Elephas maximus indicus: one gene and its partners. Each later gene encodes a partner of the first gene's protein in a complex. Links are inferred from orthologs where the notes say so. Each region holds a gene or a part of one and is shown on either strand. Other genes may lie near its edges.

Region 1 (10,438 bases):
ATCACTATCAAGAGGAGATAATCACAGTAGTTAATTAATCATATTAATAGGTATTATTCATGACCTTAACTACAGTCTGTACAGCTCTTTATCATTTACAAAGTGCTTACACACATGCGTGCACATGTGCACGCACACACACACACACACAATCTCATCTGATCTTCACAGCAGCCCTAGGTAGGAGGCAGGTCCAGGATTGGGATTTCTGTTCTATGGGGCAAGAAAGGGAGGCTCCGGAGGGAAAGCAACTGCCCAAGGTCACATAACCAAAAGTATGAGCTGCTGTTGCTAAGATGCTTTTGAGAGGACAGGTAGATTTTTCCCAGCCATTCGTTCCTCCATTCTTTCCTCCATCCATTCCTTCCTTCATCCATCAAGCTTTTATTAAGCACCTACTATGTGCCCCTCTCTGTGCTAGACACTTATCCCTAAGCAGGGACACTTTCCAGAGAGCAAGAGTCCTTGTGTTCCTGAGAGATGAGGAGGGAGGAGGCAGACAGGTCCCATCAGCCCCTGGGAACTCCAGATTGGGGTCTCGGTGTGGTCCCTCCTCAGGCTGACCCCACCGAGGGGGCAGCTTCATTTTTCTCTCGTTAGTTCATGATTTTTATTTTTCTTCTTTTAAATCAGGGAACCTGTGTGGCCTGGTTCCGACAGGCACCCTGCTGGTGGGGCGGCTATGGCTTGGGGCAGGTGCGGGGGGTATGACTCTCCTCTAGCCGGTGCAGAGCCTTCGGTAGGGCTTAGGCCGGGGCCACCTGGCTGGTCTCCGTCTTGGAGGCGGTGGTGGAGCCCTCTTCCTCACCGAATGGGTTCTTGCCGCAGCAGATGGTGGTGAGCATGCAGTTCCGGAACTGGAAGGCAAGGAGTGTGGGTCAGAATCAGGGTCTCCCAGCGTGGGGCCCTGGCAACCTGGTGAGGGTAGAGATTTGCCTCTCACTCCTTCCCTGCTTCTGTCCTTCAAGACCTCCTCTCCCCTCGAACCTGGATCTCTGGAGGGAACTTAGCATAAATTATCTCCACTCTGAGATGCCAAAGACCAAACCCAAGGGGGCTTTGACACCGACAGAGTGAGAAACTATTGTGCCGGCAGCTTCCTGTGAATTATCTTTCTGTGGATGAAGCAACTGAAGTGACTTCTCCCAGGTCACACAGCTAGAAAATGGCAGAGCTGGGCTTTGAACCCATGCCTGACTCCAGACACTGTTTTTCCCTCCGGATCATAGATTCAACAGAGAAAACTCAGGTCTTTGTTATAGGGATGTTTTAACCTGTTCAGATCTTCTGGCCTCAGAATAAGACTTTTTAGCTTCTTGTTCAGCTTCATGGAAACTGGCACTGTTCAATTCCCGGTCTTGGGACTTGGACCATTTGACTGTAAAGCGAGCCTCCCAAACCATTTGAACCAATGCTTCTCAAGCCCTAATGAACATCAGAATCCTTGGGAGGGCTTGTTAGAAATGCAGATTCCTGGGCCCACCCCCAGAGGTTCTGATACAGTAGATCTGGGTGGGGCCCAGGAATCTGCCTTTCACACGGGCTCCCAGATGAGGCTACCTACCCATGATGCACTCTGCCCTGATGAAGACTGACTCCCCTGCGGGCACTGCACAGAAAGGAAGACTGAGGCCCCACTGAGGATGTGACCCTCCCCACCCAGCCCACAACACCTGCTTATTCATCATAATGTAGATGACGGGGTTGTAGATGGCAGAGCTCTTGGCAAAGAACGCTGGGAGGGTCATGAGGATGGGCCCGAAGTCAGAGCCCTGGTGGGTGAATATATAGAAGGCCACGCTAGCATAGGGCACCCAGCAGATCAGGAACGCGATGACCATGATGATGACCATGCGGGTGACCTCCTTCTCCGCCTTCTGGGTGGTGGCTGACTCCTGTTGCTGGGCAGCCGCCTGCATGGGGAGAGGCCTGGTGTCCAGACTGGTTCTAGGACAGGGGCAGGCATCCCACTCAACATGCCTGTTCCCAGGGCCTAGCACAGCCAGGCACTGAGCAGAGGGACAGAGCTGGGGCCCACATACCTCCTTGACCGTGAAGACCAGCTGCCCGTAGCAGAAGAAGATGATGGTCATAGGGATGGTGAAGTGGACCACAAACATGTAGATGACGAAGGACTCATTATTGACCTCGGGCTTGAGCGTGTAGTAGTCGATCCCACATGAGCACTGCATGCCTTCAGGGATATACCTGGGGCCAGGAAAAGGGGGCCCCAATTGTGAGAGTCTTTGGGAGCAGGCCCCAGAGGCCAGAATCCTGGCTCTGCAACATACTTGTTGTGGGGCCATGAGCCAGCCTCTGCCCTTCTCTGGGCCTCACTTTACTCCTCTGTAAAATGGGGAAAATAAAATACCTATTAGGCTGGGTGATTGTGAATTTGAATCAACCGAGGCCAGGGAGTCCCATGTACCTTGTGAAAAACAATGTAGTTTCACTGTACTTGGCAGCTGTGGGACTAAGACAGACTGCTAGCCTCTGGCCCAGTCCTGCTCCCAGGACTGCCTGGCCCCACATTTCTCTTTGCATTGCTGCCTGCCCACTGTCCCATGTTCCGTTTCTTCCCCAGGTCAACTGTCTCCTAGTGCCTGGAGGGTGGGGACTCGGACTTCACAGGGCAAAGTTGTGGCAGAAGGAAAATGCCCACAAGCTCTGTATTTGAGGCAGTTTGTACAACCTGGGCTCTCACTAGCAATAGAGTAAGAGTCTTTTCTAGGCCAAAGATGGGCACGCAGAGTAGAGAGGGGATTTTTGTGCAGCTTCTGGAAACAGAAGCTCCTGGGGCAGGCAGTGAGGGTGTTTCAGAGGTTTCTGAGGACAGAGAAATTGTATGTGGAATGCCCATTGGAGAATGTAATGGCCAGATTGGAGAAGATGGGGGAGAGGTTGGGAGGTGGGGATGGGCTCAGAGTGGGCAAGATGAGAAACTGACCCGGGAAGATTAGAGAGGATGAAAGGGAGGAGAGAGTGGGATTTTCCTGGAGCAGAGGGACCATGAAGCCTTGGAAGCTCTGTCTTCTTTGGCCACAGTCCTTACAGTCCCTAGTCTGGGTACCCTAACACCATCCCCACCACCTCTCAGCTCAGCCCCCATCTGGAGACCATGGCCTGAGGCCAGACTAGACCAGTTTCTAGTGGCCAAAGTCACTGCCTACACTCGGAAGGTTGGGCCTCTCCCATGCTGAGGCCCAAGGTCAGGGCTGCCCGTGGAGCACTGGGCCAAAGAGGATTGTAATTGGCCATGGCTTAGTTGAGGATTAGGGGCAAAGCCAAGGTGAAGGTTTGGTGAGGCTTAGATTCTCCTTGACAAGGGGGCTCAGAGGCTAGGACCAGTCTCCATGGTAACATCAGGGTCTGTTCCTCTTCCCCTATCCTAAGCCTTACACTATGAGAGTTGCCAGGGTGGGCATTTGGGGTAGGGGGCCTAAGAGCTCGGTCCCTGGAATCAGACAGCCCTGGGTTTGAATCCTGGCTGGAGGCCCTTCCCTCCTACCCAGCCCCATTACCTGGACCAGCCAACGAGGGGTGGCGCAGCACAGGCCAGAGCCATGACCCAGGTGAAGGCGACACCCATGATGGCGTGGTTCTCCCCGAAGCGGAAGTTGCTCATGGGCTTACACACCACCACATACCGCTCGATGGCCAGGACCACCAAGGACCACAGGGCGATTTCACCTGCAAGGCAGTCAGCAGTCAGTCAGCACGGCCCCTGCCTGGACCCCACCTGGCTGTCTGAGGAGGGGGCACTGCTACTTACAGGGGAGGGCAGAGGGAAGCCCTCCTGGAGTGGGCGTTTGAGCACAGGATAAGAAGGGCTATGAGACGGGGAGGGGAGGCCATGAGGGTCAGGCAGTATCCCAAGAGGGGTGAGCAGATAGTCCTAGTTTAGTTCGGTTAAGCACTGGGGCCACAAGGGGCACTGAAGCCAGACTATGGTTCACAGTTGTAGGAAGTTTTTAGAGAAGGACATGTCCTTCCTGGGCAATAGGCTGAGTGCCTTGGTGGAAGGAAGGGTAGCGGTAGAGGGAACCTGGAGCTGAAAGTTCTCCCTCCCTCTGGGCTAGTCTCCCCTCTCCCAGAGAAGTGGAAGCACCCAGGCCCCGGGAATCCTCTGTTAGGGGCCAGGAAGGATTGGGTGACACTCTGTCCTGAGGAAGCGAAAGGTAATAATGATGGAATCCAGAAGCCTGCCCTTCACCTCAGCCCTGAAGCTCAGTAGGTAGTGGGGCTGCATAACTTATCAACCAAACCGGGACATTTCCAAGAGTGCAAGGGGACACCACTAATAATGATTCCAGGACAACAGTTACAAACTGAACTGACCCTGGAGACAAGTGTCCACCTCTTTGGGGAACTTCTGTTCCACTCCCACCTTCAGGACTGAGCCTGAGTGAAATGGGACCATTGAAGGAAGCGAGCACCCAATGATGACCAGAGTCCTTGAGAATAGGACTGGGAAGCATCCTGGACGTGTGAGGGAGGGAAGGCCAGGAAGAGCAGGCCGCCCTGGCTTGGAATAACCTGACTCTTGCCTCTCCTTCTTGTTATGTGTCCCAGGAGACGTTCCTGGATCTGAGCCAGAAGACCCAGGCTCTGGGCTTGCCCTGTTACTTCCCTAAATGAGTCTCTTCCCTCTCCATGCCTCAGGGATCCATTATCCCTGTGGCACCCCCATCAGTTTTCTAGTCAAGTGAAAGGTAATGTCTGAAAGCACTTTTTAAAGCTACAGATTGCCACAGGTCTAATGCCTCCCTGTGAAAGGGGTGGTGTCCCTGGGTGGCGCAAACGGTTAAGCACTGAACTGCTAACTGGAATGATGATGGTTCAAACTCACCCAAAGGTACCTTGGAAGTAAGGCCTGCAATCTGCTTCCAAAAGGTCACAGTCCTGAAAACCCTAAGAAGTGCAGTTCTGCTCTGCACACTTGGGGTCATAATGAGTCGGAATCGACTCAACAGCAACTAACAACAGCAACAGTGAAAGTGTTTCTTCAGAAGGTGATAAGCTCCCCAACACAAAAAGCATTCAAGCACAGCAGAGAGGCTGGAGGGGCACTCAGGTATCAGGTGGTCCTGGAAGGATTGGTCCTACCACCCAGCACAGAGGGGGTGCTCAGAAGAAACTCAATGACTAGAGGAGGGAGAGTTGGCTTCCTGCCCTGGGCTGGAAGCCTCTGGAGGGTAAGACTTGTCCAGTTCTATCCCCAGTGGCCACCATGGGTCCACCCAGTGCAGCTGTTCCCAGGGCAACAGAGGCTTGGAGTGCAGAGCCTAGCCTGAAGAACCACAGAGATGGAACTTAGCTCTGCCCCCAGCACTCTGGGACCTCCAGCACTGGCTTCCTCTGAATCTTAGTTTCCTTGCTACAAAATGGGACAATAGACCCACTTCCAATGAGATAAAGAACGTTTAGCGGCTGCCCTCAACAAAAGGCACCTATCTTATCATTACTGACAATGTTTGTTGATTGAATGAACCAGGGCCTTGAATGATGCTGGAGTCCCTGGGTGGTGCAAACTGTTTAAGACCCTCGGCTGCTAACCAAAAGGTTGGCAGTCCAAGTCCACCGAGAAGTGACTCAGAAGAAGGCCTGGAGATCTACTTCCAAAAAATCAACCATAGCAAACCCTATGGAACACAGTTCTACTCTGACACTCAAGGGGCTGCCATGAGTTAGAGTCAACTCAACAACAACTGGTACAGGTACTGGATGATGCTGATGAGTCCAGTGAGAAGAAGGCCCCTCAGCCTCCATCCCTAGGTCTGTAGCTATCCCCAGCCCCTTGCAGCCCTCCGCCCACCTGCCCTTAGCCCCTACCGCCCAGGGTGGCAAAGAAGCCCTCCAGGTTGCATCCAGTGGACCCGAAGACGAAGTATCCATGCAGAGAGGTATAGAGGGTGGTGGTGAAGCCGCCAAAGACCATGAAATGGTTGGCTACGGCCAGGTTGAGCAGGATGTAGTTGAGTGGTGTGCGCAGCTTCTTATGCTGCACGGTCACGTAGAGCGTGAGGAAGTTGATGGGGAAGCCAAGCACGATAAGCAGGAACATGTAGGCGGCCAGCATGGAGAACTGCCATGGCTCTGCTAGGTAGTACTGCGGGTACTCGAAGGGGCTGCGTACCACACCCGTCTTGTTGGAGAAGGGCACGTAGAAATTCGGGCCTTCTGTCCCATTCATGGCTGCGGCCTCAAGGCTGCCCACGCGCTACAACCTGAAGATGCTGCCCAAGCTGGGATCAGTCACCAGGACACCAGCAAATGACTCTGGGCTCAGACACTCCCCCCCCCAAGCCCTTATAAAGTGACCTCCCCTCCCTAAGCTCTGGGCTGAATCAGCACCTGGGAGATTGGGGGCGTTATTAATCATACTAATCACCACTTGCAACTGGGACCTAATTGGCTTCCAAGAGGGGCCAAGGTGACACCAGATGGAGCCTGGGGTCAGTGAGGGCAGGTGCTCAGGGCCCTGGGAACAGGAAGTCGCCCCTCCTCCATCTCTGCCCATCTCACTCTGGTGGCTCAGCCTGGGGCTGGGGCCTACCTACTCCATGTCCATTGCCCTTTAAATCCAGGTCTTTTTTGATGGCACCATGAGCTCCCACGGGCAGGGGGAGGGGAGGCTGTCTTCCTTTATCCTCTACCACGCACCTATTCCTTCTCTATCTAGACTGCTCCAAGGCTCACCTATTCCCTGACACAACACTCGCTCATCTCAGATTATGAGCTTTGTGGGGCTAAGTGCATCCTGCCAGCTTCGGCACTCCTAGTGTCAAACTTCCAGCACAGCAGGGCCTTGGCGCTCACTCAAGAAATGTTGGTTAAATTGAGTTGGAATCTACTCACTCATCGTTCATTAAGCATCTATGTTCTGGCCTCTGGGGACACAGAGACTGAGAATAAATGGCCCTGCCAGGAGGAGTTTCTGGGCTGGGGAGGACTGAGATGTGGGAAGGAAGAGATCCCCACCCAATAAGGGGTATGCATGAGGCCATGAAGAGGGAAGGTCATCAGGAAGGCTGTGTTTGGGTCTTTGGGGTGGGGATGGGGGAAACAGCACTGGTGAAGCAAAGGGCTGAGCACAGAGCAGATGCTTGAGGCTCCAGGCTCGAGGTCTGGGGAAAGAGGCCCCACACAGCTGAGGGGCAGGAGAAGGGCTGGGGCCAGCTCTGATGGGCATTGAATGCCAACGCTGGAGCTTGGCTTTGCCCAGAGAGCAATGGGGAGTGGCCTGAGCAGAACTGGGGGCAGAAAGGTGGCTCAAAGGCCCAGCAGAAATGGATTGGAGGGAGTAAGTATGAAGGAGGGGGCCAGGAGGGGTGACCAGAGCAGGGACCTTGTAGGCAGGAGGGGTCTATGTGGCAGGTGCGGGGGGGGCACCAGGTCACTGCCGTGAGTGGGGCAGACTCGGCCCTGCCCTTCTGCAGGTTCCAGTCCGAAGGCAGGAGAACCCAGGAGATGTGAAGCAGACAGGATACTGTCTGGGGTCATCTGTCGGTGTTTGCTACCAGGTGGGCTGGGAGAGTGGGCCCAGGATGCTGCCTGACAAGAGCCCCCGAAGGCTGGTCTCAGGGCAGCGGGACACACAGTGGGGAGGAAAGCGCCAGGGGAAGGTGGTCTGCGTGCAAATGTCACTGGGTACTGGCAGGTGCAGTCTCTCCAAGCACACAAGTGATGCGAGGACGACCCAGCTAAGGGTGAGCAAGGGTCCACGAGGTGACGAATGAGGGCACTGGATGGGCCTCATGCAGTGCTCTGGACCATTGCTCATTCTACAGATGTTTATCAAGCACCTACTGTGTTCCAAGACAAGGTTCTAGGTTCTGGGAGACCCAGTGGTGAGACAGAGCCCCTGGCCCCAAACAGGCAATGAAATAAATAACAATGGAACCGCCAAACCCGTTGTCGTCAAGTTGATTCCAACACATAGCAACCCTGTAGGACAGGGTAGAACTACCCATAGAGTTTCTAAGGAGCGCCTGGTAAATTCAAAGCGCCAACCTTTTAGTTAGCAGCTGAGCTCTTAACCACTGAGACACCATGGCTCCACAACAAGTGTTACCTGAAGAAAATAAAACAGAAACCTGTGATGACTCATCCCATTCCTAACACCTATAATTTATAGTAAGCAGCCAGGGAAGCCTCTTGGAAGGCCAGGGAAGCCTCTTGGAAGGTGAAGCTTGAGCTGAGAACAGAACGATGGAATGGGACCAACCATACCAAAATCGGGGGGCAGGTGGGTTCCTGGCAGGGGAAACAGTACTTTAAAAGACTCTGAGACAGGAACAGAAGGTCACCAGGGTCAATGTCCCTGTCTCTAGGACTTCCCTCCTGTTATGAATTGAATTGTGTCCCCCCAAAATGTACGTTGTGTGTCCTAACCTCTATGCCTGTGGTTATAATCTCATTTGGGAATGGGTTGTCTTTGTCACGTTAATGAGGCAGGATTAGTGTAGGGTGTGTCTTGAGTCAATCTCTTTTGAGATATAAAAGAGATTAAATGAGTGAGTGAAGGAAGATGAGATGGGGGAAGAGAGATGCCATGAAGGTCCATGCCTTCAAGGAATAGAAGCTAAAGAGACATGGACCTTCCTTCAGAGCCAACAGAGAGAAAAAGCCTTCCCCTAGAGACAGTGCCCTGAATTTGAACTTCTAGCCTCCTAAACTGTGAGGAAATAAATTTCTGTTTGTTAAAGCCACACACTTGTGGTGTTTCTGTTATAACAGCACTGGATAACTAAATTGTTAGATGCCGTTGAGTCAGTTCCAACTCATAGCAACTCTGTGTTAGAACAGAACAAAATGCCGCCCAGTCCTGCACTATCCTCACAATCATTGCTATGTTTGAGCCCGTTGTTGCAGCCACTGTGTCAATCCATCTCATTGAGAGTCTTCCTCTTCTTCGAAGATAAGTAAGACACCTCCCTTACACTTTCTCTCGTCTAGTCTTTCTTCCCAATCTGGGGTTCCTGGATCATGTCTGCTCAGAAAAGTGCCTCCCACACTCCAGCCCACCTGGGAATCATGATAACTCCCATGTTCCAGCCCTGTTGGTGTCTAAGGCTTTTCCCATAGGTGGGGCTGATGGACAGTGTGTTCATGAAGTGGAGTTGAGAGGGAGGGGTAGTGCTGACCTCTCGAAGTTTAAGGCGCTTGGCTGGTGATTAAGCCCAATGCGAATGAGGTCAAGGTGGAGGGTTTGATTCCCACAGACCCTGCCAGAGACGGAGCACTGATCTCCTGGGCCAAGAGCGGCCCACACCCAGCCCCACCCTGGCGGGCCAAGCCCAGACCCTTACACCTGCTCTCCTTTACCTCCACATTCTCCTGTCTCCTTTCTAATGCTTAGGACTATTTGGAAGCATTTTATTTATATTCTGTTCATGTGCTTTTTGTTCCTCTCCCAGAGGATCCCTAGACTCCTAGCATATAGCAGGAACATCGTGAATATTTGTCCTTCCACTAGAAAGAGCTGGGATTTCTGTCTGATGTGTTCACCAAGCCTGACACATAGTAGGTGTTTTGTAAGTATTTGTTGAGTGAGTGAATGAGTGAATGAATGGGTGTGTCTAGGTGATCTGGGTAAACACTCTCCTTTTCATAGCCTCAGTCTGTAGGAGACTTTGCTCATCCCTCCCTCAGGCTGTGGGAGGAATCAAAGGCCATTTCTGGGGAGACGGTGCTCTGTATTCTGTAAAGCAAGATCAAAAAAAATTTTTTTAAACAAAAAAGCTCTTTGTTAAGCAGGTTCGCAGAGAAAGGTGGCGGAGTCGCTATCGTCAGTATGTCACCTACTCTACCTCCCGGTCCCATTTTGCAGACAGAGAGACTGAGGTCCAGAGTCTGGCCGTGAGCTGCCCACATTCTGCAACAGATGGTGCACCCTGCTTCTCAGTGGCTTCATGGGGTGCCCCAGACCGGCCCTGATGACCCTATGGGAGACACAGGGTGTAAATGACTAGGACAGAGTTTAGCTGGGGTGGTGGGAAAAGCCGTAGGCTGTCAGGCAGGCCTGGGTGATGCAGCCATTACCCTGACTGGTGGGTCGTCTGAGACTCAATGCCCCGCTTGCCTTCTCTGGGCCTCAGTTTGCTCAGACTAGGACACCTCTGAGAATTCACACCTACAAGAAACCTAACCTGCTTTGCTGCTTCACCCCCAAGGCCCACTAGGGACCTTCAGACCCTGCTGCACAGCCCTCGCTGGGCATGCCCTTTTGAACACGACTTATGCTTATACCTAGACTGGGGCTCAGAGACAGACACAGGCCCTGTGTTAGACAGCCTGGGCTCAGCCAGCTCCTCCCTTCCCTGTGCCTCAGTTTCCTACTCTGTAAAACGGGAATCATAGCAGTGCCTACCTCACAGAGCTGTTGGGAGTGCTTAGTACCTGCTCAGTAGACATCGGTGATAGCGTTATTCTCTTA
Region 2 (10,438 bases), on another chromosome or scaffold:
GGGGGCAGACCACCGTGAGAGAGGCGGGTACTTGTCTAGGCCCAGCTCCAAGCAGTGTGCCCACAGTGTTAATGGGAAGAAAAATCACTGAAAAACAGAACGAAAGCTTCAGAGGCATATGTTGTTTTAGAGGAATATCTGGCCGCAGGGACGTTTGTCTTGCCTCAGCATCATGTCAAAAGAAGGAACCAGAGGCAGTAGCAAGACTTGTTTTAGCTGGTGGTTTTAACGTCCTCGCGAACACTTAACCACAGCTGTTAAAGAGGAGGAACGGAGATGACTCACATTCATCTTGTCTCCCTTTCCTTTCCCCATTCTGGCCGCGGACTCTAGAAAACAGGCCTCAAAGCCATTGCACTCTTGTGAACGGAATGAATAAAGGGGCAGAGGAAGGGGACAGCAATCTGGATAAGGAATCCAGGTTATTTCAAAATATAAATAATTCATTTAGAGTCTACATAAACACATAAGCTATTACATTCAACCTTAAGAATCAGAGTCCTTGATGGATTGTGGAGTGGTATATATATCTCTTCTTATTTTTTCCACTATTATATTTTACAGAAAAATGAAACCTAATGAATTAAAAGGGAGCCCTGGTGGTAGCACTGTGGCTAAGTGCTCGGCTGCTAACCTAAAAGTTGTCGGTTCAAACCCACCAGCCGCTCTGTGGGAGAAAAGACCTGGCAATCTGCTTCTGTAAAGATTACAGCCTTGGAAACCATATGGGGCAGTTCTACTCTCCTTTAGGGTTGCTATGAGTCAGAACTGACTCAGCGGCAACAGGTTTGGGTTTGGGTTGTGGTTAATGAATAAAATGAAATAAACTATTTAAAACTAGATAAACAACCAGGGAGAGTAGAGATGAAACAGGATTCCTAAGGAAATCCTTCAGATGAGAGCTGGACACAAGACAGCTAGAATAATAAAAATTAATAATAATAATAATAGAAAATACATTTATAAGTAAACATAAATAATATAATTTAAAAGGCCATTATCATTTCCACTGTCTTGAAGGTATTTTATCTGTACTTCCTAACACACTGTTCCTCCTCTTTCTTGTGACCTTGAATGGGTTATTTAAATTACACCTCAGATTCTTCATCTGTAAAATGGGGTAATCAAACTTACCTCATGAAGTTTCAATGGAGATAAAGCCAGATGAGAGAATGGAAGTGCAGGGCCTTGCAAATAACAATAGCAGCATCCCACTTTTATTTAACCCTTATATGCCAGCCACTCTTCCAAGTGTTCCACATGTATTACTCCACTTTATCCTCACAACAACCTTTGAACATAACCTGTTCCTGTTGAGTTGATTCCAACTCGTAGCCACCCTATAGGACTGAGTAGAAATGCCCAATAGGTTTCCAAGAAGTGGCTGCTGGATTTGAACTGCTGACCTTTTGGTTAGCAGTTGAGCTCTTAACCACTGTGCCACCAGGGCTCTCGACATAGGTATTATTACTTATCCCCCATTTTATAGATCAGGACACTGAGGCAAAGAGAGATTAGGTCGGCCAGCTAGAAAATCAGTTAATTTTCCTTCTCTTCACCCAAAAATAAAATTCAGATGACTGAGCTCAAACCCAATCAGGGTTTTATATGATCCAAGTCTCCCAAAGAGTCTAGTGGCCCTTTCCCCTGAGAGTCAATGATCTGGCTTGACCTCAGGAGCCCAGGGCCTGGCTCTCAGATCTAGGGCAAATCAAGGCACAGGGCAAACACTGAGACACAGCCTCATCCTCTCTGCAGGTGATGGGAAAACCATGGTATCCTCAACTGGCTACATTCTGTTCCTAGCTCTACTGATATTCCCTAAGAGCAGCCCTTCACAAAATGGGGCCCTTCACAAAATGGGGAAGTTGATGACGTCTGTCCTCATTTACTATCCCTCTTAATGGAGAGCCCTCAACTCCTCTCTAGGACCCCCACCTCCACCCCATTATTCATCCATCCAAATAGCACATACTGGTTGATCACTCTACCTGTAGTACCATATGCCTGCTGTCTACACCCCTCAGCCCCACCTCCCCAATGTCCAACCAAACCCAGCTTAGGAAAGGAAGTGACATCCTGATTCACAGAGATGTTTGAATGGCCTACTTCCCTCAGGGGTGCCTGCCTTTCATAGGAGACTGAGGGCGTGGCATTTCAGGTGTCAGCAGTGAAAACTAGGAAGAAGAGGATTTTGATCGGGGCACAGGGCTTTCCCACTGCCCCTTAAACAGCATTCATGAGTAGCCGCAGGTTCTGCCCACATGGGAAGCATCCTTGATCAGGTCCCAGAGATCCTCTCACTAAGCTCGGACCATCAGGCCATCTCTATCCCAGATCACAGCCAGGTCACCCTCTCCCACATTTGAAGAAGATTCATTTACCTTATGTCACCTCCATTCATGATGGTCATCACCAGACAGAGGTCGGCTTTGGTTTCAAACGCGTAGGCCAGAGAGACTATAAACCTGCTATGTACTTTTGCTAGAATCTTCTTCTCTACCATAGCACCCTGAAAAGCAAGATGTTGAGTAAGTACCCAGGTTTGGTCAGGAAAGCACCGTCACCATAAAATTCCAAGTTCCACAAGAAGGAAAACCTCATTAAGATCATCAGCTACAGTGTTGCCTACTGTTTAAGGTACACACGGAAAAATAGAAACATAGTTGCCACTATCTTTTTAAAATAGTACGTGAAAAGCAATTGCAATTAACTTATAAACAGGTGTCACTCTACCCATTTCATAGAGAGAAAACCTGATGTGGCAAATTCATTAATGCACAGAGGACTAGGCAGGCTGCTGGATCAGCCTCCAGGCATGTGATGCTCAAACCAACCAGTGTTTTAAAAATATCAGAATAAGATTCCACCTTCTCCTGACAACCTGTTTAGTGTTTACTTTCCCTTAGTGCTTTCCTTTATGTCTAACCAACTCATCTTTCCCCTTTTCTCTGGTTCAGGCTTCTGAAAGACAGAGAACATTCGGTCAGCACCCTCCCAAACCACCTCACACCTCTATTTCATTTTTTTATCTCTGTTTTAAAACCTCGTGCTGTTCCATTTAAACATGTTGTTAAAAGCTGTGTTTCGATAGGCAAAGATGAACCCTTTTTTGAGGAAGGAATTCTTGGTGGTGGAGAAGGCCCTTTCTATCCATACCTGGATGGAAATATTTTAAGTTGATTTTAAGCGGAGAAGAGACTATCGTACTCTAACAGCAGAATTAAAGTTACAGTTATACAACCATAAGGGGTAATTACTTCCACCCCAAAGTCTCACAGTGAGATCGCTGTGAATTTTCCTGGATCCCTTCACTCAACTGGTTGCTATAAGCGTCTGATATTTAACCTTTCAGTGAGATAGATTTGCACAATAGCTGCAATGATGGACTTGAACGTGTTGGCAGTCACCAGGATGATACAGGCCCAGGCAACGTTTCGTTCTGTTGTACATACGGTCACCATGAGCCTGCGCCAACTCAACAGCAGCTAGCTATCTACCTATCTAACCTTTAGCTAATGGACCTAAATGACACGTATGCCTGGCCCGTTGTCAAGGAAACGCCCAGCTGGGAGATGCTTTGTGGTGGTTGCTGTTTAACCCCAAACACTTTGTCTGCTCTTAACACTATCTGTGCTGTGCCACTTGAGGGCAAAAGAGAACCGTATGTGGCAGAACGTGCAGCTGGAGAGGCTGCTTTAAATGTGTTCCTAAGACATTTTAAGCAGCTTTCACTGATCCTGTCCTAAAAGGGCAATCTGGTGCCAGTTAGGTGGAGAGGATGAAACTTAGAGCAACCTTTATATGCCTTCCATTCACTCACATTCCCTGGAAAATAGCTCCGTTCAGGGGCAAAAACATTCAGCATCCCAGCATTACAGAGGGTTTCTGTCTCATATAAACATGTCAATCAAAGTGATATTTGACTGCAGGTAGGAAACCATTGTAAGGATGGCTCAGGACCAGGCAGTGTTTTGTTCTGTTGTGCATAGGGTCACTATGAGTCAGAACTGACTTGACGGCACCTAACAACAATGACAACAACAACAGGAAAGAAGGGGTATATGAGAACTCACTGTAGTTTCTGTACAATTTCTCTATAAGCCTAAAACTGTTCTAAAAAAATAGCCTATTTTTTTAAAAAAGTGATATTTGAATGAACACAAGTCCTGCCACAATTTTTTGTGCATTTTCCGTCATAATATAATCTAAGGGTTTGGGAAAAGGCTTTCAGAAGGAGTAAGAATCTAGAAGAATAAGCAGCTTTCCCCTATAAGGCACTCTTCCCCTTAAACTTGCTCCAGCATTTCAGTGGTGTTAGCAAAAAAAGAAAGATGACCAAACGTGGACTATCACCCACATCAAGAAGCAAACACTAAGGTGGGTCTCTGAGGAGGGAAGTCTGCAAACCTCCTGTCCATAGGAACAGCAGCAGGACAAACTGAACTACAGACCTGAAGAGGAATTTAGAGGTCATACACCTCATCCTGCTAGCTCCGCACTGTGGTCAGAAAACAGCAAGAGCTGAGATACAGTGCCACAAAAATAAGAAAGAAAAAAAAGGGCTAATTTTGATGTGCGATTTTAAACATGATGCACAAGAAAATGCTCTAGAAAAAAGAGCCAATAATTGCACACATGAAGTAGGTTTGGGTGGCCAAGGGCAAGGTTAACATCTTATCCAAGGCAATGCTGTCTTCTACGTCCAGTACGCAAACCAGCTAAGGGGGCCCATTGGGACGCTGACTAATCCTCTATGTTCTAATTTACATTCTCTGATACTCACCCACCCACCCCGCCCCACCTCACCCTGGGAATCTAAAAACTATTTACTTTGCACTTGCTGTGAACTACTGCAGCTGCTTACTTGGTACCCCTTCCTTTTCTTCAGCCTCTTCTTGTTCAGTTTTTTACAGGCATACATCTTGCCAGTTGCCTTCATCTGGCAGGCTGACACCTCCCCAAAGCCCCCTTTCCCCAGGATCCTGAAGTCCAGAAACCAGTCTTCCCCCATGGGCTGGGCCTCCAGCCACTTCCACTGGAGGAATCTCAGGAAGTAGAGGCTCGTCAGGTACTCCTGGAAGGGGGCCTGGCTCAGGTGTGCCATGGTGGCCTGCAGGATGGGTTGGAAGAGTCCGTCCTCAACAGCGGCATGCACCTCCTTCACCTTTGCCATCACCCCCTCGTCCAGAAAGCCGCAGAAGAGCTTGGCTTGGGGGTCCAAGTACTCAGCCACGATGGCCTGGGCCTTCTGCAACCGGAAATTGGTATCTGCTGTGTCATAGTCCTCGATGTCCTTCCAGAGCTCAAGGGCCGGCACATACCTCTCGTCTGTTTTCAGGAACTGCTGGAAGAGGCGCTTGCCGATGGGCTGTTCTGAACATACACTTTCAAACTCGAGGTTGAGACTCTCGCGAAGGGACTCGCATTTGGAGAGGGGGGGCAGCTTGAGCTTTGCAAGGTACTTCTTGTCCCGGGAACACTGGGTGCTGCTCGCATCAAAACTGGCCCGGGCGGCGATGAAGGCAGAATTGGCCACCACTGTCTCCAAGGCCCCAAAATCCATTCTGGTGCTGGTCCCTGGTCTGCTTCAGGCATGAAAAGCCATAGGTCAACGCTGGGTCCACAGAGGCTTCGTCTAGATGAGGGTTGACCTGTTGCCCTTGGCCGGTGCCACCTGTCCTGCCTTCACAGGGACACGGAAGATGTCCTGGACAGTGCAACGGACTGGGACTGGGAAAGTCCCAGGAACCTCAGGGGCTGAAGATACATCAAGTTAAATCCCAGGCTCCTGAGGGTTAGAAAGGGTGAGTTAGAGGTGACTAACAAGTGCCAGAAAAAGACAATCCCCTAAGCCATCTCCTAAATGGATTAGACAGATAATTCAACCCCAGCTCTCTTCTTTCTGGGCGACGGTGTTTATTTTCCTGTCAGAAAGAACAAACACCAGTATTCCCTGGGTGTGCAGCACTGAAGCGTTCAGCTACAAATTCGTTCTAAGTTGCCCTTCAATTCGATCCTCTGGCTTAACGCAGTGTGCTGGAATGCCTTTTTGTTTCCTGGTCAGAGGAATGTTGGACTGGAAGGTCTCTGCGTGGAGACTTGAACCCTGCAGAGGAGAGGTGCCAAGAGAGCCCAAATACGAAAGGCGGGGAGGGGGGTCAAGGAGAAACCTTAATTTATTAAAGATGCCTGGGTGTTTTTTCCCTGATTCACTTCATTTTTATCTTTAAAAACAATGTGAAGAAAATAAGCTGCTAGTAGTTTAGAAAGACAAACTAATAATAACAATAAAACAATGAAAAGCTTCCTAGGTTTATTCTTGGGTGAAACCACCGACTTGATTAATCTACACTTTGTTCTCTACAAGGGCAGGCACCTTGTCTGTCTGTTTCACCACTGTATCCGTAGCACCTAGCACATTAAAAAAAAAAAAAAAAAAACCTGTTGCCGTGAAGTTGATTCCAACCCCTAGTGACCCTATACGACAGAGCAGACCTGCCCCATGGGGTTTTTAAGAAGCACCTGATGGACTCAAACTGCCAACCTTTTTGTTAGCAGCCATAGCTCTTAACCACAACGCCACCGGGGTTCCAAAAAACAAACAAACAAAAAAGCTAGTTGCCATCCAGTCAATCCCGACTCATGGAGACCCCATGGGTGTCAGGGTAGAACTGTGCTCCGTAGGGTTTCGGTGGCTAATTGTTTAAGAAGTAGACCTTTCTTCTGAGGCACCTCTGGGGGGACTTGAATTGCTAACCTTTCAGTTAATAGCCGAGTGTTTAACCATTTGTACCACCCTGGGACTCCTTAGTACATAGTAGGTTCTCAACAATGTTTGTGGAAGAATGACAAGGACATGACTAGCTGAAAGAGGAGAGGTAGTTGGAGAGTCACAGAAACAAGGAATGTCTGAGCTAGAAGAGGTCCTGGAGACAATCCAGCCCACCCCACCTCACATCACAGTCAGAGTGGAGGAGTAACAAGGTGGGCAATGAGCTCTGCAAGCAGGTCCGGGGAAGAGGGGTGGGGTCCTCTCTAGCCATCGAGAAAATGGACCTGAGAACATGCTGTGCTGAGAAGTCATGGTCTTCACAGTCTCCTAACAAGCAAAGCTTAAGGCAGGTTGGCTGAGTAAGTATTTGAGGTGAATATTACAAGAAAAATTAAAGTAGCTAATATTACATTATCCTCCCAGGAGAACTTCGCTAGTCCCAGCCCTGGCACTTAATAGCAGGTGACCTTGAGCCGATCACTTTAACCTCCAAGCCTCTGGTTCCCCCTAAAACAACTTCTTGCCTGTCCCTCAGAATTCCATATAACAATGGTTTTCATGTTGCTGCGTAAAATACACCTTATTCCAGTGTTTCTTGAAGTGTGTCCTGAGTCAGGGCTTCTCAAACTTCAATATGCAAATGAATCTCCTGGAGATCTTGTTAAAATGAAAATTCTGCTTTAGTGGGTCTGGGGTGTCTAAGGTGTCTAACAAGTCCCAGGTGATGCTGAAGCTCCTGGTGCAAGACCACACTGTGAGGAACAGGGGTGTAAGGAATACAAACCCCTGTTGGATTAACATCAAGCTGTATCCTGGGGGATGGGGGCAGTTCCGTGCTCAAATACAATGGGAAACATTAAGCTCAACAAAGTTAAATACGTTTCCTTATTTAAAGTGCCCGACTGCTAACCCAAGGGTGGGTGGTTCGAAACCACCAGCCACTCCGAGGGAGAAAGATGTGGCAGTGTGCTTCCGTAAAGATTGATAGCCTTGGAAACCATATGGGGTCACTATGAGTCAGAATCGACTCAATGGCAGTGGGTTTGTTGGGGTTTTCTTGTTTGTTTGTTTCCTTATTGCAAGATTTATTCAGAGATTTTAGAATGAACTTGTCTTCCTGCGGGGGGAGGAGGGTAAAGAATGCAGTGTTTCCCAAACCCTTTTGGCTCTGGAACCCCTTTGTTTAAGTTAAACTTTTTATTTTGAAATGGCTGTAGCTTCACCTGCAGTTGTAAGGAATAATTCGGAGAGACGACCTGTACCCTTTCCCTAGTTTCTCCTGATACTGACATCTTGCCAACTGTAATACAATATTACTCCCAAGATACTGATATGGACACAGTAACAATACAGAACATTTCATCACCGTAAGGAGCCCTCAGGTTGCCCTTTTACAATCACACCTACTTCTCTTCTACCAGATCTGTTCTCCATTTCCATAACTCTGTCATTGTAAGAATTATTATGCAACTGGAATCTACAGTACTTAGCCTTCTGGAGTGGGCTTTTTCCACTCAGCATAATTCCCTGCTGAGTCGTCCAGGTTGTTACAAGTATCAATAGTTCGTTCTTTTTTATGGGTAAGTGCTATAGGGTCGCTATGAGTCGGAATCGACTCGACGACACTAGGTGTAGTATTGCATGGTATAGGTATACATGCCATAGTATTTTTTTTTTTTTTTTTCGGTTTGGTTGTTTGTTTTGTTTTGTTTTGTTTTAACCATTCACTCATTCAAACATCTGGGTTGTTTTCGGTTTGGGGCTGTTATAAAGAAAGCTGCTATAAACTTTCATGGACAGGTTTCTGTGTGAAAAGCGGCAAGGTTGCTGGGTAGTGTGATAGTTGCATGTTTAGGTGTCTTTTTTATTATTGTGGTAAAAAAGTATATAACAAAATTTTAATCATTCTTAAGTGTACAAGTCAGTGGCATTACTTATATTCACAGTGTTGTGCAACCATCACAAAACCCTTTCATCACCCCAGGAGCCCTCGTGGCACAGTGGGTAAGCGCTCAGCCTCTAACAGAAAGGTTGGCAGTTGAAACCCACCAGCCACTCCAAGGGAGAAAGATGTGGCAGTCTACCTCCATAAAGATTTACAGCGTTGGAAACCCTATGGAGCAGTTCTACTCTGTTCTGTAAGGCCACTGAGTCGGAATTGACATGTTGGCAATTGGTTTCATCACCAAGCACACCAAGCAGAAACTCTGTCCCCATTAAGCAATAACTCCCCATTTTCACTTCCTCCCTTGCCCCTGGGAAGAAATGATGACATAAAAGAACTGAACAGAAGAAGCAGAGAATACCAGAAGGATGTTTACCTGCCTTTTATTGACTGTGCAAAGGCATTCAACTCTGTGGATCATAACAAATTATGGATAACATTGCAAAGAACGGGAATTCCAGAACACTTAATTGTGCTCTTGAGGAACCTATACATAGATCAAGAGGCAGTTGGTTGGACAGAACAAGGCGATACGGCAGGGTTTAAAGTGCAGGAAAGAGGTGCGTTAGGGTTGTATCCTTTCACCATACCTATTCTATCTGTGGAAACCCTGGTGGCATAGTGGTTAAGTGCTATGGCTGCTAAAAAAAGGTTGACAGTTCAAATCCATCAGGCGCTCCTTGGAAACCCTATGGGGCAGCTCTACTCTGTCCTGTAGGGTCACTATGAGTCAGACTTGACTTGGTAACAATGGTTTTTGTTTTTTTTTTTTTAATTCGATCTGTATGCTGAGGAAATAATCTGAGAAGCTGGGACTGTATGAAGAATAACAAGGCACCAGGATTGGAGAAAGACTCATTTACAACCTGGGTTATCCAGATGACATAACCTTACTTGCCAAAAGTGAAGAGGATGTGAACCACTTACTAATGAAGATCAAAGACCACAACTTTCAGTATGGATTATACCTCAACAAAAAGAAAACAAAAATTCTCACAACTGGACATATAAGCAACATCAGGATAAAAGGAAAAAAGATTGAAGTTGTCAAGGATTTCATTTTACTTGGATTGCCAATCAACACCCATGAAAGCAGCATTCGAAAGTTTAAAAGACTCATTTCATTGGGCAAATCTGCTGCAAAGGGCCTCTTTAAAGTGTTAAAAAGCAACGATGTCACCTTGAGGGCTAAGGTGCACCTGACCCAAGTCATGGTATTTTCAATTGCCTCATTTGTATGTGATAGCTGGACGATGAATAAGGAAGACCAAAGAATAATTGACGCCTTTGAATTGTGGTGTTGGAGAAGAATATTGAATACACATTGCACTGCCAAAAGAATGAACAAATCTGTCTTGGAAGAAGTACAACCAGAATGCTCCTTAGAGGCAAGGATGGCGAGACTACATCTTACAACATACTTTGGACATGTTGTCAGGAGGGATCATTCTCTGGAGAAGGACATCATGCTTGGTAAAGTACAGGGTCAGCGGAAAAGAGGAAGACCCTCAGCAAGATGGACTGACACAGTGACTGCAACAATGGGCTCAAGCATAACAATGATTGTGAGCATGGCACAGGACCAAGCAATGTTTCATTCTGTGGTACATAAGGTCGCTATGAGTCAGAACCAACCCCACAGTACCTAACAGCAACAACGACCCCAGCCCCTGGTAGCCTCTATTCTACTGTCTCCAGGCGTTTGCCTAGTCTAAATA
Region 3 (10,438 bases), on another chromosome or scaffold:
CTGGCTGGACCCAGACTCTTGGGATGATGGTGAGGAGGGGAGGAGAGGGGAAGGCTGTTGGAGGAGTCTCTACCTGGGCTGAGACCTGAAGGACAGAGTAGCCAGGTGATGGGGATGGTCGAGGAGGATGTGGGCAAAGAAAAAAAAAAAAAACACAAGAGCAGCGTATGCAAAGCTTAGAGCCAAGAAAATGCTCCATCTGCAGGTGAACGGCCAGTAAATGGAGATGTAGGCTAAAGCCAGAAAGGGTCTTGTGGAACCTGACCCTAAAGATCTAAGCAGACATTGAAGACCTGACCCTAAAGATCTAGGCAGAATGAAAGACCTGCAGTTACATAGTATTTGGAGCACCTCTCATGCACCAGGGGCCAAGCTAAGGACCGTAACTGCATTATTCTATTTAATCCTCACACGACTCCATGGAACAGGAATTAACCCCATTGTACAGAGGAGAAAACTGAGACTTTGATCACGTCAGCAGCAAAGTGGAGAATGGATGGGCTAAGGGAAGCCAGTTAGGCAGCTGGATTGGAGGAGGGAGGATTGAAGAGTGAATGGGAGGGGTGTTTTCTTCTCCTTCAAGAAGGCTTGGCTGTGAACGATGGAGAACGATAAGGAGGTTAACAGAAGTGGAATAGGGTTAAGGGAAGCTTTTGCTGTTGTCCTTTTTAAGATGCACGAGGCTGGCACTTGTGTTTATGCTCAGGGAAAGCACGGGTACAGAGGAAGAGGTTAAAGATGCAGCCAGGGAGGGCCTGATGGTTGAGAACCTGAAGAGGCGGTGAACCCTGAGATCCAGGTGGATGTACAGTGGTGAGTCTCCGATGGGAGCCAGGGCACCTCTCTCCTGCAACTGGAAAGGAAGTGTTATGGGTTGAACTGTGTCCGGCAAAATGATATGTTCAAGTCTTAACCCCCAAAACTGTGAATGTGACCTTATTTGGAAATAACATCTTTGCAGATGTAATTGGTTAAGTTAACGTGAGGTCATTCTGGAGTAGGGTAGGCCCTAATCCAACATGATGTCCTTATATGACAAGGAGACACAGAGAGACGCAGAGTGAAGATGGCTGTGTGGAGATGGAGGCGGAGATTGGAGCGATGCGGCCACAAGCCAAGGAATGCCTGGAGCCACAGAGGCTGGAAGGGTGAAGGAAGCATCCTCCACTAGGGCCTTCAGAGAGAAAATGGCCCTGCTGACACCTTGATTTCTGACTTTCAGCCTCCAGAACTGCAAGAGAATAAACTCCTATTGTTGTAAGCTACCCAGTTTGTGGTATTTGTTATGGTGGCCCGAGGAAACTAATAAGAATATATCTTTTTCACACCCTTCCATTAAGCCACTCACTCCTGTGCCACTTACCGACTTGTCCCGGGAGACCTTCTTGAAGATGACATGGTTTTGGGTAGACTTACTTGTCTTCCCACTGGCTGCCATGTTTTCTGTCCCTGGCAACTTCTTTCACCTTGGGATGCACAACAGGGAAAAGGTAAAAAGATCCTAAATATAAAGCCAAGAACATGCTGGGTGTAAAACCCAGTCAGGGGATGCTATATATCCATTGATCTTTTCCTTCTACCTGCTCAGCTCCCATGTTTGACTAAATAAGGTCTTTGTTTAGTTTGTATTTTGCTGTGGTGTGCTTTTATTTTTTTAATTGTACTTTAAGTGAAAGTTTACAAATCAAGGCAGCCTCGCATACAAAAAGCTATACACACCTTGCTGTGTCCTCCTAGCTGCTCTCCCCGCAGTGAGACAGCACACTCCTCCTCTCCACCCTGTATCCCCGTGTCCATTCAGCCAGCTCCTGTCCCCTCCGACCTCTCACCCCGCCTCCAGACAGGAGCTGCCCGCATAGTCTAATGTGTCTACTTGAGCCAAGAAGCTCGCTCCTCACCAGGATCGCTTTCTGTCTTATAGTCCAGGCTAATCCTTGTGTGGAGAGCTAGTTGGCTTCAGGAACGGTTTTGGTTTTGGGCTGACAGAGAGTCTTGGGGCCATGACCGCCGGGGTCCCTCTGGTCTCAGTCAGACCGTTAGGTCTGATCTTTTTACAAGAGTTTGAGGTCTGCACCCCACTTTTCTCCTGCTCCATCAGGGATTCTCTGTTGTGCCCCCTGTCAGGGAGGTCACTGGCGATGGTGTGCTTTAAAAAAAATACGTATATATTCTTTCTTTTTCTTGGTAAGCCTCAAATACGTCTTAATCAACATCCTCAAAAAGCCCAGCTAGATTCAAGCGAGAGGGTTTTACTTCCTGACGACCCTCCGACGAATTCACGTTTGTTGTTGTTAGTTGCCATCGAGTCAGCTCGTGCCTCACGGCGACCCCATTCACAACAGAATAAAACGCTACCTGGACCTGTGCCGTCCCCATGATTGGTTTCGGATCCAACCTCTGTGATCCATAGGGTTTTCTTTGGCTGATTTTTGGAAGTAGGTCACCAGACCTTACCTCCTAGTCTTTCTTAGTCTAGCAGCTCTGCTGAAAGCTGTTTAACATCATAACAACACACAAGCTTCTACTGACGGATGGGTGGTGGCCGTGCATGGGGAGTGTTGGCCGGGAAATCGAACGTGCGCCTCCCGAGTGGAAGGCAAGAATTCCACCCTTATACTAGCACTACCCTCCACTTCACACTTAGCCAGGTTGAATTTAAAATTCTATCATTACAGTGTCTTATGGCAAGTAAATAGAAAAAGTTGCTGAAAACCACAAGACAACTACTTCAAAATATATTACATCCCCAGGCGTTCTGTTCCACCATTCCCACTAAGCAACGCTTTCCTTTTCTTGCACTCTCTTTTGTCACTCCCCAGCTGCGCAGACAACTGGGAGACCGTCTTAGCTGTCTGGAATTAAATGCTTTCAGATCAGAGATTCCTTAACAAGCAAAGTCCCGTACACAGAAGGGTGACACAGAACAGACCGATTACCCGGAAAAGCCCATTAGGCTGTCTACTCGCTTTTTTTTAGGTTTACAAAAAAAAAGAAAACACAAAGAAAAGAAGAAAGCACAGAGGTTCCCATATACACCTTTCCCATCACCCTCCCCAGCTCTCTCCTCCTATTGACATCTTGCATTCCTGTGGTACATTTATTACAACAAATGAACATTTACTGATAGTTTATTACTAACTAGAGTCCCTGGGTGGGACAGCTCAGCTGCTAACCAAAAGGTTGGAGATTCCAGTCCACCCAGAGGTACCTTGAAAAAAAGACCTGGTGATCTACTTCCAAAAAATCAGCCACCGAAACCCTGTGGAACACAGTTCTACTCGGACACAGATGGGATCACTGTGAGTCGGAGTCAACTCAACACCCACTGGTTTACTATTAACTACCAAAAAAGAAAAACCCTAATTGCCATTAAATCGACCCTGACTCATTGCAACCTCAGAGTAGAACTGTGCTCTGTAGAGTTTTCTTTGGTTGTGGTCTTTCAGAGACGATCACCAGGCCTTTCTTCCAAGGCAACTCTGGGTGGATTCGAACCACCATATCTTTTGGTTAGCAGCTGAGCACGTTAACCATTTACACCATTCGGGGACTCCTTAAGGTCCATAGTTTACCTTGGGGTTCACTCTTTGTGTTTTGCAGGTCTACGGGTTTTCACAAACGCATAATGTCATGGACTCCCTGCTACAGTATCACACAGAATAATTTCACTGCCCTAAAAAACCTCTTTAAAGTGTTGAAAAGCAAACATGTCACCTTGAGGACTAAGGTGTGCCTGACCCAAGCCATGGAGTTTTCAGTTGCCTCCTGTGCATGCAAAAGCTGGACAATGAACAAGGAAGACCTAAGAATTGATGCCTTTGAATTATGGTGTTTGCGAAGGATACTGAGTATACCGTGGACTGCCAGAAGAACAGACAAATTTGTCTCGGAAGAAGTACAACCAGAATGCTCCTTAGAAGTGAGGATGGCAAGGCTTCATCTCATGTATCTTGGACAAGGACATCATGCTTAGTAGATGGTCGGTGAAAAAGAGGAAGACCCTTAACAAGACAGATTGACACAGTGGCTGCAACAGTGGGTTTAAGCATAACAACGATTGTGAGGATGGCACAGGACCATGCAGTGTTTCGTTCCGTTGTGCATAGGGTCCCTGTGAGTCGGAAGCGACTGGACGGCACCTAACAACAACAACAACAACAAAATGCCAGTGCTTCACCAGTTCGTCCCTCCCTTCTACCCACAAGCTCCTGGCAACCACTGATCTTTTTACTGTGTCTACAGTTTTGCCTTTTCCAGGATACCATATAGTTGGAACCTGCAATACGCAGCCTTTCAGCCTGACTCGTTCCACGCAGCTATATGCGTTTTGCTGTGAGTCGGAATCAAATGGACAGCAACCAGTTTGGGTTTATATGCGCTTAAGGCTCTCCCATGTCTTTCCCCGGCTCGAGAAGTGCTTTCTTCTCTCTAACATTCCACTGTCTGGCTGCACTGGTTGGCCTGTCCGTTCGCCTACTGAGGGATCACCAGTTAACCGGTTGCCGTCAAGTCAGTTCCGACTCGTGGCGACCCCACGTGTGTCAGAACAGAGCCATACTCCACAGGGCTTTCAGTGGCTGACTTTTCGGAAGTAGAATGTCAGGCCATTCTTCTGAGGTGCCTCTGGGTGGGCTTGAACCTCCAACCTTTCAAGTAGCAGAGCAGCTGAGCACCCTAACCGTTTGCACCACCCAGGGCTCTTGTTGAAGGATGCTCTGTTTTTCCCCGGGCCCCCGCCAGAGTTTCTGAGAGGCCTAGGCTGGCTGTCACATACCTTGTGATTTCTGAGCACCTGCCAACCGGCCCAGGCAGTGAGGACAGGTCTCCGCGGGCTCCAAGGATGAGGGGCTAGCAGCTGCCTCCGCACGAGCCGGGCCTGACGGCGACCCCCAGGCACAGCGATGTGTGTGGGGATTTGTAGTGGGTCTGAGAGGAGGCCAGGCACCCCGCTCGCAGTGTCTAGAAGCCAAATCCCACTTACAGAGCTGGATGGAAATTGGATTAGTGCGGAGGTGGGCAAACTGGCCGTTTCAGCAATTCTGAGCATTAGGCAGGGGTCACACCCGTCGCCTCAGATTGGGGCCGCACAGACGCAGGGGCTGCCATACCAGCCTGGGGAAGTTGGGGGCGGGGGGGCGGACGACAGTTAGATGGAAGCTCCTTTTGATCCTAAACCTCTTTGGGTTCTGAAAATAGACTGATTATCCCTTCCTCCCCCCCAGTATCACCAGGACAGGGGATTTTCAAGTGCTCAACAAACTTGATTAAACACAGCTGGCAGCTAATTCAACCTTGAGGATGGGAACGTAAACAAAAAGGTCAAGGAGAAATAGCAACCTCAAGAGCAGCCCTGGAGCCCTGGCTTTACACAAGCCCTGCTGGGGAGGCCCCTCTCCTTCCCCCTCAAGCCCCGTCTGTCAGGATCGCTGTCAGTTTCTCCCCCATGGCTCCAGAGTCAGTCTACTGCTTCCCACCTCTACCACCTTATCTTCTCTCTTTCTCTCTTCCTTCCTTCCTTCCCTTCTCTGTGTTCTTTTTTAGGGGGAGGGGGTGTGGGGAGAAAATATGTGTTTTTATATTATCGTCTCTGTATTATTCAATTTTTTTTTTTTTCTATACATGTATTGGAAACTCTGGTGACGTAGTGGTTAAGTGCTATGGCTGCTAACCAAAAGGCCGGCATTTCAAATCCACCAGGCACTCCCTGGGAACCCTATAGGGCAGAACTGCTCTGTCCTACAGGGTCGTTATGAGTTGGAATCGACTCCAGGGCAACGCGTTCGGTTTTTATACACGTATTGGCCTTGGTGGTGTACTGGTAAAGAACTCGGCTGCTAACCAAAAGGTCAGCAGCTCGAATCCACCAGGCACTCTGTCTGCTAGGGTCGCTATGAGTCGGAATCCAGCCACGGGTATACCTGTATTAGGGTCCCCGGGTCTTGCAAACTGTTAAGCCCTCGGCTGCTAACTGAAAGGTTAGTGGTTCAAGTCTACCCAGAGGCTCCTCGGAAGAAAGGCCTGGCAATCTACTTCTGAAAAATCAGCCACTGAGAGCCCTACGGAGCGTAGTTCCACTCTGGCAACTCAAGGAGTTGCCATGAGTCAGTCGACTCGACGGCACCTGGTTTGTATACACATATGACATTTTTTTATTATGATAAAATGTAGGTAATGAAACAGCTGCCATTTCCATCATTTCTCTGTGTACAATTCAGTGACGTTAATTGCATTCACCATGATGTGCGACCACCACAGGTTCCAATTTTTTTTCTCACCCCTAGCAGAAGTTCTGTGCCTTTTCGGCAATCGCTTTTCCCTCCTGCCCACCCCTGGTAATAAACTCTGTGCTCTGCACATTTGTCTACTCTACATGTTCATATAAAACCAAACCAAACCCACTGCTGTCGAGTCGATTCCAACTCGTAGTGACCCCATAGGACAGAGTAGAACTGCCCCCTAGGGTTTCCAAGGAGCGGCTGATGGATTCCAACTGCCGACCCTTTGGTGAGCAGCCAAGCTCTTAACCACTGTGCCACCAGGGCTCCAGTGTCTGACCTGTTTCACTCAGCTTGTTTCCAAGGTTCATCCACATTGTAGTAGGTATTACGACTTCATTTCTCTTTATGGCTGAGGAATATTCCACTGTAGGGATGGACCACATTTTGCTTTGTCCATTCTTCTGTTGATGGGCACTTGGGTTGTTACCACCTTTTTTGGCAACTGTGAATAATGCTGCTGTGAACATTGGTGTGCAAATATCTGTTTGTGCCCCTCTTTCAAGCCTCCTGGGTATGTATCTAGGAGTTAAATTGCTAAGTCATATGGTAATTGTGTGTTTAACTCTTTGAGGAAACACCAAACTACTTTCCACAGTAACTGCACCATTTTATCTTCCCACCAGCAAGGGACGTGGGTTCTAATTTCTCCACATCCTTATTGTTTTCCATTTTTCTGACGATAGCCATCCTAGCTAGTGTGAAGTATATCTCACTGAGCTTTTCATTTGCATTTCCCTAATGACTAATGACATTGGGCATCTTTTCCTGTGCTTATTGGCCATTTGTAGATCTTTGCTGAAGTGTTTAGTCATATTCTTTGCCCATTCTTGGATTGGGTTTTTTGTCTTTTTGTTCTTGAGTTGCAGTACCACATCCTCTTGAGTCCATGTATCCGTCATGGTTTTCCTAAACCATAACTTCCTGGCTGTCTGACAGCACCCATCTCACCCTCCAGTCTGGTCCATGTCGCAGCAGGGAGACCTGCCAAGCCCGGATCCATCGCCCTCCTGCTCACAGCGCCCTTTGCTCTCAGTTTACAGCAAAGAGATCACAGTGCTTGCCTCTCCATACTGAGCTGCACCACGCTCCCCTGCTCCCTCCCCACTTGCCTGGAAGGACCTGTCTCTCTCTTTACCTCCGTGCCTCTTCTTTGCCCTAAGATGTCCGCTCCGGAGCCACTTCTTCAGGGGAGCCTTCCCCAACCTCCCAGATGAGGCTGGAGGCACGGCTGCATGTTACTCTTACTTGGGAACTATTTTACGGTCTCTGTCACCTGGTGCTGCTGTAACAGGAATACCACAGGCAGTGGCGTTAAGGAGCAGAAATTTATTTTCTCACAGTTAGGAGGCTAGCAGTCCAAATTCAGGGTGCCGGCTCTAAGGGAAGCCTTTCTCTCTCTGTTGGCCCTGAGGGAACTGCCTTGTCTCTTCAGCTACTGCTCCTTGGCTCCTTGGCAATCTTCATGTGGCATCACTCTTTCTCCATTTGTGCTGCCTTCTCTGTGCCTGAGCGGCCCTTTTTATATCTCAAAGGTGATTGGTTTAGACACACCCTATGTGGCTATTGCCTCATTAACATAATAAAGAAAACCCTATTCCCAAATGGGATTGCCTCCACAAGTATAAGGGTTAGGATTGACAACACAGGCTTTTGGGAACACAGCTCAAGCCGTCACAGCAAACCTGGCTCTGGACGGTGCTCAGGGTTAAGTGGCTGGGATGCTGTGGCCACTGGTATATTGGCGACCAGAGCCAGTCTAAGCCAAAAGCCTGGTCTCGTCGTCGGCATGCCAGCACCTGCTGGAAACACTCTGCTGCTTCCATCTAGTCTACATGCTGCCGGCGAGTTGCCGCGTGATCTGGCTCTCCTGTTGTTGTTAGGTGCCATTGAGTTGATTTCAATTCATATCGACCGTGTGCACAACAGAACAAAACACTGTCCAGTCCTACACCATTTTCACAATCGTTGCTATGCTTGAGCACATTGCTGCCGCCATTGTGTCAATCCGTATCATTGAGGGTCTTCCTCTTTTCCACTGACCCTGTACTTTGCCAAGCATGATGTCCTTCTCCATGGACTGATCCCTCCTGACAACAGGTCCAAAGTATGTGAGATGCAGTCTTGCTATCCTTGCTTCTAAGGAGCATTCTGGCTGTACTTCTTTCAAGACAGATTTGTTCGTTCTTTTGGCAGTCCATGGTGTATTCAATATTCTTCGACAACACCACAATTCAAAGGCACCAATTCTTTCTCGGCCTTCCTTATTCATTGTCCAACTTTCACATGCATATGTGGTGATTGAAAACACCATGGCTTGGGTCAGGCACACGTTAGTCCTCAAGGTGACATCATTGCTTTTCAACACTTTAAAGAGTTCCTTTGCAGCAGATTTGCCCAATGCAATGCGTCTTTTGATTTCTTGACTGCTGCCTTCATGGGTGTTGCCTGTGGATTCAAGTAAAATGAAATCCTTGACAACCTCAATCTATTCTCCGTTTGTCATGATGTTACTTATTGGTCCAGTTGTGAGGATTTTTGTTTTCTTTATGTTGAGGTGCAATCCGCACTGAAGGCTGTGGTCTTTGATCTTCATTAGTAAGTGCTTCAAAGCCTCTTCACTTTCAGCAAGCAAGGTTGCGTCATCTGCATAAAGCAGGTTGTTAATGAGTCTTCCTCCAATCCTGATGCCCCGTTCTTCTTCATATAGTCCAGCTTCTTAGATTATTTGCTCAGCATACAGATTGAATAGATATGGTGAAAGGATAAAACCCTGATGCACACCTTTCCTGACTAAACCATGCAGTATCCCTTTGTTCTGTTCAAAGGACTGCCTTTTGATCCATGTACAGATTCTTCAGGAGCATGATTAAGTGTTCTGGAATTCCCACTCTTCACAATGCTATCCCTAACTTGTTAGGATCCACACAGTCGGATGCCTCTGCATAGCCAATAAAACACAGGTAAACATCCTTCTGGTATTCTCTGCTTTCAGCCAGGATCCATCTGACATCAGCAATGATATCCCTGGTTCCAAGTCCTCTTCTGAATCCAGCCTGAATTTCTGGCAGTTCCCTGTTGATACACTGCTGCAGCTGCTTTTGAATGATTTTCAGCAAAATTTTGCTTGTGTGTGATATTAATGATATTGTTCGATAATGTCTGCATCAAATATGGATCTTTTCCTGTCATTTGGCCAGGAAGCTGTCTTCCATATTTCTTGGCATAGACGAGTGAGCACTTCCAGAGCTGCATCTGTTTGCTGAAACCTCTCAATTGATATCCCATCAATTCCTGGAGCCTTGTTTTTCGCCAAGGCCTTCAGTGCAGCTCGGACTTCTTCCTTCAGTACCATCGGTTCCTGATTAGATGTTACCTCCTGAAATTGTTGAACATCAACCAATTCTTTTTGGAATAGTGACTCTAAGTATTCTTTCCATGTTATTTTGATGCTTCCTGCATCATTTAATATTTTCCCTGTAGAATCCCTCAGTACGGCAAGTCTAGGCTTGAATATTTTCTTCAGTTCTTTCAGCTCGAGTAATGCTGAGCGTGTTCTTCCATTTTGGCTTTCTATCTCCAGCTCTTTGCACATGTCATCATAATGTCTTACTTTGTTGTTGTTAAAAATTAGGTGCCCTCAAATCAGCTCCGACTCACAGTGACATAATATATATCAACACTCATCTGTCAGTTTGTCATACTGTGGCTGCTTGAGTGTTGCTATGATGCTAGAAGCTATGCCATTAGTATTTCAAATACCAGCAAGGTCACCCATGGTGGACAGGTTTCAGCGAAGCTTCCAGACTAAGACAGGTTGGAAGTAAGGCCTGGCAATCTACTTTCAAAAATCAGCCAGTGAAAACCTCATGGCTCTCCTGTTACCTCTGACCTTATTTCTGATCACTGTTCCCTTCCCCCTCTTTGCTCCAGGGCACCGGTCAATTGGCTTTTCTTTAATGCTAGGCACCACCCTGCCCCAGGGCCTTTGCAGTTGCTGTTCCCTCTTCTGGATTATTCTTCCCACACAGAGCTACATGGCCCACTCCCTTACTGCCTTCAGGTCTTTACTTCAGTGTCACGTTTCCACTGAGGTCGTCTCTGGTCAACCTGCCCATCCTATTGTTAATCACCCCTCCCAACACTTCTATTGCCCTTTCCTG

The links. The genes of interacting proteins can lie anywhere in the genome.
Region 2: the proteins of RHO (region 1) and GRK1 are in contact, whole or in part, in a cryo-EM structure (PDB 7MT8), measured with the Bos taurus proteins. The link is inferred for Elephas maximus indicus from reciprocal best matches to the Homo sapiens genes RHO and GRK1. Residues at the interface, in NP_001014890.1 of Bos taurus: Lys66, Lys67, Arg69, Thr70, Arg135, Val137, Val138, Val139, Lys141, Ser144, Asn145, Phe146, Arg147, Phe148, Glu150, His152, Leu226, Thr229, Val230, Ala233, Gln236, Gln237, Glu239, Thr243, Ala246, Val250, Met257, Ile305, Tyr306, Met309; in NP_776598.1 of Bos taurus: Leu6, Glu7, Thr8, Val9, Val10, Ser13, Ala14, Ile16, Ala17, Ala18, Arg19, Gly20, Asp23, Ala24, Glu184, Asp185, Trp186, Phe187, Leu188, Asp189, Phe190, Val192, Arg195, Glu200, Gln205, Met206, Lys207, Lys221, Arg222, Thr256.
Region 3: the proteins of RHO (region 1) and SAG are in contact, whole or in part, in a crystal structure (PDB 4PXF), measured with the Bos taurus proteins. The link is inferred for Elephas maximus indicus from reciprocal best matches to the Homo sapiens genes RHO and SAG. Residues at the interface, in NP_001014890.1 of Bos taurus: Arg135, Val138, Val139, Lys141, Leu226, Glu249, Val250, Met253, Met309, Asn310, Lys311, Gln312; in XP_010802144.1 of Bos taurus: Asp71, Ile72, Met75, Gly76, Leu77.

What each region holds. Positions count from the first base shown.
Region 1 is NC_064838.1:38,156,725-38,167,162, reverse strand, and holds RHO (rhodopsin), read right to left. Parts: upstream 6,194-10,438; coding exon 5,833-6,193; intron 3,691-5,832; coding exon 3,522-3,690; intron 2,209-3,521; coding exon 2,043-2,208; intron 1,914-2,042; coding exon 1,674-1,913; intron 858-1,673; coding exon 747-857; downstream 1-746. UniProt on the Homo sapiens protein: Photoreceptor required for image-forming vision at low light intensity. Required for photoreceptor cell viability after birth.
Region 2 is NC_064835.1:74,756,530-74,766,967, reverse strand, and holds the start of GRK1 (rhodopsin kinase GRK1), read right to left. Parts: upstream 5,567-10,438; coding exon 4,868-5,566; intron 2,513-4,867; coding exon 2,385-2,512; intron 1-2,384. UniProt on the Homo sapiens protein: Retina-specific kinase involved in the signal turnoff via phosphorylation of rhodopsin (RHO), the G protein- coupled receptor that initiates the phototransduction cascade.
Region 3 is NC_064824.1:135,422,728-135,433,165, reverse strand, and holds the start of SAG (S-arrestin), read right to left. Parts: upstream 5,077-10,438; 5' UTR 4,775-5,076; intron 1,467-4,774; 5' UTR 1,439-1,466; coding exon 1,364-1,438; intron 1-1,363. UniProt on the Homo sapiens protein: Binds to photoactivated, phosphorylated RHO and terminates RHO signaling via G-proteins by competing with G-proteins for the same binding site on RHO. May play a role in preventing light-dependent degeneration of retinal photoreceptor cells.